3 linked regions of the Nothobranchius furzeri genome follow. The protein of the gene in region 1 interacts with the protein of each later gene in a pairwise test. Links are inferred from orthologs where the notes say so. Each region holds a gene or a part of one and is shown in the gene's direction. Other genes may lie near its edges. The genes, in order: lyar, bend7 and prkra.

Evidence for each region.
Region 2: the proteins of lyar (region 1) and bend7 interact in binary tests that used the Homo sapiens proteins (3 or more experiments, as listed by UniProt). The two-hybrid records come from large-scale screens. The link is inferred for Nothobranchius furzeri from reciprocal best matches to the Homo sapiens genes LYAR and BEND7.
Region 3: the proteins of lyar (region 1) and prkra interact in binary tests that used the Homo sapiens proteins (3 or more experiments, as listed by UniProt). The two-hybrid records come from large-scale screens. The link is inferred for Nothobranchius furzeri from reciprocal best matches to the Homo sapiens genes LYAR and PRKRA.

The regions. Positions count from the first base shown.
Region 1 is NC_091743.1:56,230,058-56,233,815, reverse strand, and holds the start of lyar (cell growth-regulating nucleolar protein), read left to right. Parts: upstream 1-1,617; 5' UTR 1,618-1,932; coding exon 1,933-2,054; intron 2,055-2,137; coding exon 2,138-2,252; intron 2,253-3,690; coding exon 3,691-3,758. Other genes in the region: zbtb49 (zinc finger and BTB domain-containing protein 49), read right to left, coding at 1-711, 832-983. UniProt on the Homo sapiens protein: Plays a role in the maintenance of the appropriate processing of 47S/45S pre-rRNA to 32S/30S pre-rRNAs and their subsequent processing to produce 18S and 28S rRNAs. Also acts at the level of transcription regulation.
Region 2 is NC_091744.1:72,597,965-72,600,650, reverse strand, and holds the end of bend7 (BEN domain-containing protein 7), read left to right. Parts: coding exon 1-70; intron 71-142; coding exon 143-260; intron 261-339; coding exon 340-453; intron 454-529; coding exon 530-571; intron 572-968; coding exon 969-1,027; 3' UTR 1,028-2,151; downstream 2,152-2,686.
Region 3 is NC_091754.1:21,793,015-21,796,772, reverse strand, and holds the start of prkra (interferon-inducible double-stranded RNA-dependent protein kinase activator A homolog), read left to right. Parts: upstream 1-1,195; 5' UTR 1,196-1,347; coding exon 1,348-1,385; intron 1,386-1,762; coding exon 1,763-1,938; intron 1,939-2,219; coding exon 2,220-2,301; intron 2,302-2,591; coding exon 2,592-2,670; intron 2,671-2,910; coding exon 2,911-3,029; intron 3,030-3,121; coding exon 3,122-3,215; intron 3,216-3,290; coding exon 3,291-3,453; intron 3,454-3,577; coding exon 3,578-3,735; 3' UTR 3,736-3,758. UniProt on the Homo sapiens protein: Activates EIF2AK2/PKR in the absence of double-stranded RNA (dsRNA), leading to phosphorylation of EIF2S1/EFI2-alpha and inhibition of translation and induction of apoptosis.

The DNA.
Region 1 (3,758 bases):
TCAGAGTTGGAGGTGTTGAGATTATCTGATGGAGTCAAAGACGAGACTGTGCTCTTTTCAGCTGGCACAGATGTACAAGAAAGGTTAGGTTGAGGCACGTTTCCAGAGGTTACAGGAGTGTTGTTTCGACTCTGGCTCATTCCAAGCTGCTCTTCTGATAACACTAAAGGACCTGGGCCCTGGTTTGAAGCTGCACTACTGGTTTGCAGAGCACTTTGTTTGAAGTACTGCTTACTGTAAAAATTACGGAGCTTATATCCATGAACCAGCTGTTTTTCTACAGGTGCATGAGAGCTGCTAGGTATGTCACCATTTGTGCTGTTGCTAGGCAGAGAAACTGGTATCCTTCTTGTGTGGTCCAGGTCACTGTAAAAATTTGGCCTCTGGGATTCAGAGGTACAGTGAAGGTCAACATCATGTGGAAGACCACTGCCCAGAAGACAGTCATGCTCTGAGCTCAGCATGCCTGGGAGGGAAAAGGAAGACAACTCTGCGGGTGGGGGGCAAGGCTTGAGGAAGGCGTTACACATGGTCTGCACATTTGGAACCTGCAAGCTCTGGGCAATGTCCAGAAGCGCTTGTACGTTTTCTTGGTTAACGTCGAGATGGGAGGTATACATGTAATCCAATATTTGACCAATGCCACTGACATCCTGGATAACCAGGTTGAAAACGTCGCTCTTCTGACTTGGAGAGTTTTGGAACAAAGACCTGGAGAAATCCAATTATAAAACAACTCAATCATCTATAGAATCGCAACATGATTAATAGAGAAAGCTAAAAAATACAAAAACATGTGGATTTTTATTCATTAAATTGACTTTAGGGCACCTGAAATAGGAACTGAAAGCAGCCAGGACATTTTTGTGGGCTTTGAAGCAAACACCTTTAACCACCAACATGCAGTCACAAAGAAGTCCCTGAATTCTTTGTTCCTGGAGCTGCTGGAGAAGGTATGAGCTGTGGCTGGACAGGGAGTCCATGGTCACTCAGCTATTGGACCTCTCTCAACTTCAACCTTACATCAGGGGAAAAAGAAGAAGAAAACAGCTTATCTGTAGCTAATGGGTAACAAACAGCTAAACTGGGTTACAAATGCATTCTTCAGCTGATTCTGGATAAACTTTTGAACTTCATATTTTCATCTATTTTGTTCTGTAAACAGCAGATTTCCGCTGGGCCGAGTTACGAGACCAGCCATGCAAAAATAACAAAATGTCTGCACCAAGCGATCGCAGCAGTGCGTAGGAAAATTGGCTGAACGCGAAATTTCTTTAAAAAATAATGTTTTGAAAAGTAAATAAATTAGATTAACTGCCAACAATCAACTTTAGAAATAAACAAAGCCAACAACTCCCTTAATACATTCCTACCTTTCATTGGGATGATGGGTCACTAGACTGTGGTGACTTACGTCACTTCCTGGTACAGCGCCTATTTCGAAACATGAACACAGATAAATAAATATATATTCTGTTTTAATAAAAGGAATTACATGCTTGTAATTTTATTGGTTAAGGTAATCAAACATTTTTGGCATAATGTTTCCTCTCCCAATCTTTTAACGTTATTTTAATAATTGTAGGAACGTTTCTTTGGGAGCATTTTCCTCACGGAAGGCTAATAATGTAGGATTGAATTGCGTGAAGTATACACGTAGGGAATCAGTAAATGTGCTTCTAGGTGTTTTTTTTGAATCCGATAACTTTTATAAAAGCAACGTATGTTGTTCATCCGCTTGAAAATATTAATTGGCAAATATTATTTTCTACTTTTGTTAGTAGGTTTATTTTTTGTTGTCCACATTTGACCGTTAGCGCGTGCCAAGTCTAGTACTGGGGGATTGTTCCACATTGAGCATCAAACGTTGTTTTAACTTGCTTTAAGAAGCTAAAGGCACCGAGACACAGAAGTCACTGAATTGCTTTTAAAATGGTGTTTTTTACTTGCAACGCGTGTGGTGAATCGTTAAAAAAAGCTCAGGTTGAGAAACACGTGAATATGTGTCGTGGTTGCCAAGTGCTGTCCTGTATCGACTGTGGAAAAGACTTCTGGTAATGGCTGGCCGAGTGTTTACAATCCATAGATTTCTGTTCACAGACTTTTCTTAGTGTAAACTCTTCCATGCTTTCTACAGGGGTGATGACTACAAAGATCACAACAAATGTATAAGTGAAAATCAGAAGTATGGAGGGAAAGGCTACGAGGCTAAGGCAAACAAAGGAGATGTGAAACAACAGCAGTGGATTCAGGTAAACTTCTCTCACCGAACGGTGGTTCCTCCATCCATCCATCCATTTTCAGCCACTTATCTGGAGTTGAGTCGCAGGGGCAGCAGCTTAAGCCGAAAGGCCCAGATTTCCCCCTCTCTGGCCACTTGGGTCAGCTTCTCTGAGGGAACCCCAAGGCCTTCCCTTAGGTCTCCTCCCAGTTGGACGTGCCTCATCAACCTCATCAAGGAGGCGTCCAGGAGCTATCCTGACCAGATGCCCGAGCCACCTCAACTGGCTCTTCTCGAAGTGGAGGAGTAGCGGGTCTACTCCGAGCCCCTCCCGGATGACTGGGCTTCTTATCCTATCTCTAAGGGAGAGCCCAGCCATCCTGCAGAGAAAACTAATTTGGCCGCTTGTATCGCCGATCTCGTTCTTTCGATCACTACCCAAAACTCGTAACCATAGGTGAGGGCAGGAACGTAGATCGACCGGTAAATCGAGAGCTTTGCCTTCAGGCTCAGCTCTCTCTTCACCACGACAGATCAGTACAACGCCCGCATCACTGCAGATGCAGCAACAATTCCCCTATTGATCCCACGCTCCATCTTTCCCTCACTCGTGAACAAGTCCCTGTGATACTTAAACTCCTCCACTGGAGGCAGGACCTCATCCCTGACTCAGAGAAGGCATTCTACCTTTTTCCGATTCAAGACCATGGTCTCGGGTTTAGAGAAGCTGCTTTGCACTCTGCCGTGAAACGCTCCAGAAGAAGTTGGAGATTACATTTTGATGAAGCCAACAGGACCACATCATCTGCAAAAAGCAGAGACCTGATCCTCAGGCCACCAAAACAGATCTCCTCAACAACTTGGCTGTGCCTAGAAATCCTGTCCATAAAAGTTGTGAACAGAATCTGTGACAAAGGACAGCCAGGGCGAAAACTACATTGTTCATCCTGAATCTGGCCTTCGACAGTCCAACAGACCCACCTTTACAGAACCCCTGAATAGACCTTTCTAAGGAGTGTGATCTCCCTGTAGTTGAAACACACATTGCAGTCCCCCTTTGTAATTAGGGGGACCACCACTTCAGTCTGCCAATCCAGTGGAACTACCCCTGATGTCCACGCGATACTGCAGAGCCGCATCAACCAACACAGCCCCACAACATCCAGAGTCTTAGGGAACTCTGGGCTCATCCACCTCCAGAGCCATGCCACCGTGGAGTTTTTTTTTTGGTGACCTCAGTCCCAGAGATTGGAGAGTCCATTCCAAAGTCCACAGACTCTGCTTCCTCCCTGGAAGACGTGCCAGTAGGATTGAGGAAGTGTTCCACCCATCGATTCACAACGTCCCGAGCTGCTTGCCCCTCCTGAGATGCCGGATGGTGGACCAGAATCTCCTTGAAACCATACGGTGGTTTGTTGTTGACTGAAATATTTTGTTAAAATTCAGACTTTATGTATCTTTTTTTTCAGAGAGTACATGAAGCCATGAGCAAACCGGGTATCAGTGCCAAGCTGAAAGATGTGCTTAGACAAGTCAG
Region 2 (2,686 bases), on another chromosome or scaffold:
CTCCAAGGCCCAACTGGACTCCATCCTAGTAAATTATACCCGCTCTGGCAGCTTGCTGTTTCGCAAACTGGTACGCTTCTGGGATTTTAAAAAGCAAAAATTAAACATACTTCTAAGATCAGGAGCTGTGTTTTGTCCTTAGGTGTGTGCCTTCTTTGATGACGCTACTCTGGCCAACTCTCTGCCAAATGGCAAAAGGAAACGTGGGCTCAATGACAACCGTAAGGGTTTGGACCAAAACATTGTGGGTGCAATTAAAGGTAAAACAAGATCAATTCACTCTTTGTTGCTGGCATAATAAAGACAAATGTTCTAATTATTTGAGTGACTTGTGGCCAGTGTTTACAGAAAAATACTGCACCAATCACAGAATAGAGAAGTTGCCAGGGCCTCGAGATTGGGTGCAGATCCTTCAAGACCAGATCAAACTTGCAAGGAGGAGGCTGAAACGAGGTCTGAAGCAGTCATTTGTTTTCTTTAAGTAAAATAAACAAGTTGCATATCGAAAGCTGTTCTATTGGGTCAATAGATGCTGCAGAAGCTGAGGAAAGCTCAACTGGACCATCGACCAGTAAGAACCTCACACAAAACTGCCTACATTTGCACTGGTTCTTCATCTTACATCACCTTTTCATCAGCCCCCCTCAGAGCACATAATGGCTTCACCTCTCCTCACTCCATTGTCACAACACACCCACAAATTGGTGTCTCTGGCTCCCTCATTGGCTCACCAGGCTATGGCATGCTTTCGCGCTGACATTTGACATTTTCATGCAGCTTCCCAAAATGTCAGCTAATTATCTTCACAACGTGCATCGTTTTCACTCTTTCACCTTTACAACGTAGCCACAGCTGTCAAATATCTAAATTCTCTACTTGCCACACATGCTTACATAAAATTCGCTGTTGTTTTGTTTTATAGTTCACAGCATTAAATTATATACTAACAATATTTTCTTCCTATACAGGCTGTGATTATAAGAAACCTGAATGTGACGAACACACACTGAAGAATGTAACGTGTTGATTCAACAGCTGCCTCGGCTGGAGTTCAGCTGATTATTTTTGTCCTCGTTATTTCTCTAACTGTAAGTGTTGGATTATGCCATTTTGCAACTGTTAACTATTAGGTAAAATGGGTAAAAGAAAATAAAAGGGCCAAACGAGAAAGCATCCATCATGAGCAAATATGGTTTACATTGTGTTAAATGAGCAGTCCATGATTGACATCCTTTTGGATCTGGAATTTTGTGCCAGGAAATACTGATGTAATAAAATAAAATAAGTGATTTATTGTTCACGGTTTAAGCAAATGCCTAAAAGGTGTGGAACACTCATTCAATCAATATGTTTGCAGTAGGAATGAATGCCTTATTAGTCGTACTTGGGGTGCACTGATGCACCATTTCCAGGAACTAGAAGTGAGCCACATCACAGCTGAGCTTCAGACGGCATGTTTTGGAGTCTGATTTCCTGAAATTCGGACAGCTAAACAGCTCTACCACTGACTCTGTTTGCTTTGCAACGTTGATTTTTATTTCCATATAAGCCTGGAGGAGTTCTGCTGTGTGGTGAAGTTGCTGATGCTAACAGTTAGCTTCTACTAGCCAATACATTCTCTGCTGTTTCCTGGATGTTAAATAAACAACAGCCTTCCCTGTTGTGGTCAAGATGGGTGAGTCCATGGGTATTTCTCAATGTCAAGGAGCCTGGCCTCGCTTACGAGGACACTGTCCTTCCTTGGGCAAAGGAAACGGTTAAATGGAACAGACTTGCATGACATGACCACAACTTCCACGGCGGTCATGTCTTGTCACGTGATACATGAGGTAACGTTATATTTTATGCGTATGAGTTTCAATATAAACGTATAACAAGCCTTATACTTTTTAAATTGTGTACATATGTAAGCAACTTATACCTGTTAGCAACCGAATCTGCAACTACTATAGGCAACTATATATATATATATATATATATATATATATATATATATATATATATATATATATATGCTATATTCTGGGAAATTTTTGACCAGGGCCAGGCTACAAGGCACCTCCCGTGTATCCTTGCTCAGCTCAGCTAGGATGCCTCGGTAGAACATGAACATTGGAACACACCTTGGCGGTTCCTGATGATGTTTCTCTTAGGCAACCGGGGCAGGACCAAGACGTCAAGTCAAAGTTCCTTCACATTAAGAAACACCCCATGAATGTTTGGTGACAATGTGATGTAGATCTGTCAGTCTTTTCAAATCGTTGAGTTTTCACCATCTAGTTTGCATGCAGGAGCTAGGCATAGAATTTTTTCATGTTCAGCCTGCATCTCAGAGTGGCCGATTATAATAAAAAATAAGATCTTAAAAGTGGGATTTCAGTGTTCTACACCTTTAAAGAAAATTTGCCAATATAATGGAGATCAGACATATCGAACAAGGCATAATGCTGTAAAAATGAACAGCATTAAATTATTGTTAGGACAACTCATCTCGAAAGAGGTTTTTCCATTGTGGATTGTGCCTTTTAAGTGACCAGTGGTTCAATGGGTGTAATGTGCAGCATCCACCTTGTTTGCAAACCTTATACTCAAAAGCGATGCATATTTGATTAATTTTTTATAATTAATTTTACATTGATTGGTTTAATTGTAATGTAAAAAACAATAGTCCTCTGTAAATATTTAT
Region 3 (3,758 bases), on another chromosome or scaffold:
TTACATCTTTAAATATTGGTGCGTGTCTGTGTGACCGTTATTTGTATGTTTATTGATGAGCTCTTGTAAAAGCCCAGGAGTCTGCCTAGTTATTTCCAAAGAAGCTGAGTGTGCCAAATTTCAGCGCCTTGACACGACATTCTAATTCTGAACATGTTTTATGTTTCATTTGAGTTGGTGTTAGGTCTTAGTTTTTGCTGCAGAATGGAGTCTGCCTAGTTATTTCCAAAGAAGCTGAGTGTGCCAAATTTCAGCGCCTTGACACGACATTCTAATTCTGAACATGTTTTATGTTTCATTTGAGTTGGTGTTAGGTCTTAGTTTTTGCTGCAGAATGATTTTATTTAAATTGTCCCTGATGTGGCACTTTATATAGCCAAAGCAATAAGCATTTAGACTGAAAATGAATTTATTACCAACTTTGTTTTCTACTGCTATCTAGGTGTAATCATGACAAATTCAAGCCTCTAAACAATCTTAACTGTTCAACAGTACTATATATATATATTTTTTTTAATTTCTTAAAGAATATATTTCTTATCAAATACATTAGTGGAAATGTTCTGGGTGCTTATGTCCAACAGTTATTGGATGAGAGGCAGAGTCTGACCTGGACAGAGTCTCAAAGGGACAAACTTCTACTCACATACACACCTAGGGTCTAATAGAATTGACAATTACTCAAACATGCATGTTTTTGCACATTAGGAGAAAGCCTGAGTTGGTGTGTATGGAGAGAAAATGCAAACTATGCAAGGTTCCAGCTGGGATTTGAACCCAGGATCTTTTGATGCATGGCAACAGTATTTATGGCATTTCCGTGTTCTTTGTCAAAATAGTAAAATGTGGCTATTTAGATTATTGTAATGGGAATAGAAAAAAATGTCAAATGAACAAAGTTGATGAAAAATAAACTTTGATACAAAGTATGCTTTGTCTAAGAGTAACCTGGAAAAAAACTGGTTTCCTATTATAATTAGTTTTCAAAACTGAAATAAAATTTGTGTCAATTTAGTCTTACTTAATTTTTGCATCACATAAATACATTTTATTTATTGTTTTGCTAAAACGTTCCCCCCACTAGTGAGATACAATTTTAGGTTTTTGATTGCAGTCCATTATCTCAACCAGCAGGGGGTGCACTAAATCGCTGCAACCACTTCCGCTGACCCGGATGTGAACACGACTTTTATTTCCCTTTTTCTCCAGGAAGGATGCAGCATTTTCTTCGTTTAGAAACATGAATATGTTTAATGTGAAGAAAACCTGAAGCATTAGATTATATTTATCTTTATTTTTTAAGTTTCCACCAGATAAATTCCTGCTGACCTCCGTAAATAATCCAACATGTCTCAACAGGGGTATCAGTCACCGGACGACAAAAGGTTTGTAGCGTTATTATTTACAAGTTAAATTCAAATCATTTACAGAAACTAGTTAATGATTTTATCTTCTTGTGTGCGTAAAAACAACAGTACGGTTTAAATGGACGCTTCAAACCATTACATTGAAAACCAACGGTTATACATACATTTATTTCTCCTATTTAACAGATTATAGATTGTTTTTGTGATGAAACAACAAAATAATTTTATATTAGAAGTAATCATGAAATACTCGCAATTAGCTACAGTTCCTATTTTTCCTAAACAGTTTGGTAGACACCATATAAAATTCATAAAATATAATTTGTTCAACCAAAATAACCCCAGATTAACCTGTAACAAAGGTTGCATGTTATTGTTTCTTTGTTAAATATAAGTTTGGATTCACAAGAAGCAGAATGGGCCAGCCTGGGGAAGACCCCGATCCAAATCCTGCATGAGTATGGGACTGCCAGTGGGAACGCTCCTGTGTACGAGATGGAGAAAGCTGAAGGAAGTGGCCACCAGCCCAGCTTCTTCTTCAGCGTGAGAGTTGCAGACATTCGGTGTACAGGTAGGTACTACCTAGGTACTTCCTAACTCAGGAGGTAATTTATTGTTGAGGTTTCATGCTGAAAATCCAGTTAGAACTCACTGATCACGTTACAGGTTAGTCTTTTGCTGCTGTAAACTCTTAAATGCATCATCAGCGTGTCCCGTTGCACTTCCAGCGTAGACCTGTGCAAAGAAAATTAAAAATAATTGCAAAAATTTTAAGCTAGAAATTAAAATCTGTGATAAGATTCACTTAATTTTGCTTTTGAAACAAATTTGTTTCGTTATATTTTATTTCAGGTCAAGGTCCTACTAAAAAGGCTGCTAAACACCAGGCTGCAAGTGCTGCGCTGAAGCTGTTGAACCTCGATTCTAAAAAATTGTGAGTGAAGTCAAAACTATTTGCTTACCATTAGTTCATTTACCTGGTTTTTACAGCGAAAACCAAAGAATGTACAGCTTCTATCGGGGTCTCATATGTGAATATTTTAATGCTGCTTAGGCTGCAATAGGAATTTTATTTGTAGTTAAATAATTTGACAGCATTATCTGTAAAGTTATAGAACAAATATATTCAGCAACGTCAGTCGTCAGAAGTTTTGCGTTTTGTTGTATTTATTTGATTTCTTATAACTGTTGAAGCTCTAATGTGTTTGACGTGACGCCCAATAGGACCTCTCCTGGGAAGTCCGACACCAACGGGGATGCAGCGGATGCAAACTACAATCCCAGCTCTGTGTCCCTTCTGCAGGTGTGATCACGTTACATCTTTTATATGTCACGTTTGCTTTTGTGAAAATGTAAAATTATTGTTTTATGTAATTTCTGACGGTCTGTGTTACAGAAGAGAGTACTTATCTTGCTGCAGCTGTTTTACAGTCATGTTTGTATTATTTAACCTTTAAGCAACTGATCAAGGGTGTCATTTTAGTTAATTATATATCATTTTTCTCTTCATATTAATTGACCTAAAATTAAAAATTATTATTAGGAGTTAACGATCCAGAGAGGATGGCGTCGGCCTGAATATGCAGTTCTAGCTGAGTCTGGTCCACCACATCAGAGGGAGTTCACTGTCGCTTGTAGATTTGACTCTCTTACAGAAAAAGGAAAGATTAAACATTTTTTTCAGTCATTTAAATAGTTTGTTTGTTTTGGTTCTGTTGTTTTAATCCTGTTTTATTTATTTATTTATTTTTAGGTGTTGGAAGTTCTAAAAAAGCAGCAAAAAGGGAGGCTGCAGAGAAAATTGTGGCAAAGCTTCAAAGTTTGTCAGGCGGTCCGGAGATCACCTGGGTGAGTCAGGTCTTTCATTTCACCTCCTAAAACATCCACAAGATGTTTGAAATGTTCTTGTTGCTGGTTTTTCAGACTCCTAAACCGAGTGTCCTCCTCGAGAATGTGAAAAAGTCCTCCGCAGAAAAGATTTCCCTACTGAGGAGAAGCCCGCTGAACATTCCCAACGCGGATTACATTCAGATGTTGTTGGATCTGTCCCACGAGCAGGGCTTCGAGGTCACATACTATGATATTGGTAAGAATTTAGTGCTTTGGTTGATGTTTGGAGGCTTCTTTTATCCCGAAAGGCAGAAAAACAGACTCAGGGGAGACCCTATGTCTGCCTGTAGAAAATCCCTGACTGTGTTCATGTCTGACAGATGAGCTGACTGTAAACGGACAGTACCAGTGCCTGGCAGAACTATCCACCGACCCCGTCACCATGTGTCACGGCACCGGCATCTCCTGCAGCAACGCTCACAATGTGGCGGCACATAGCGCGCTCCAGTACATCAAGATCGTAGCCTCCAGCAAATAGACACATCCGCCTGACCACAGCAA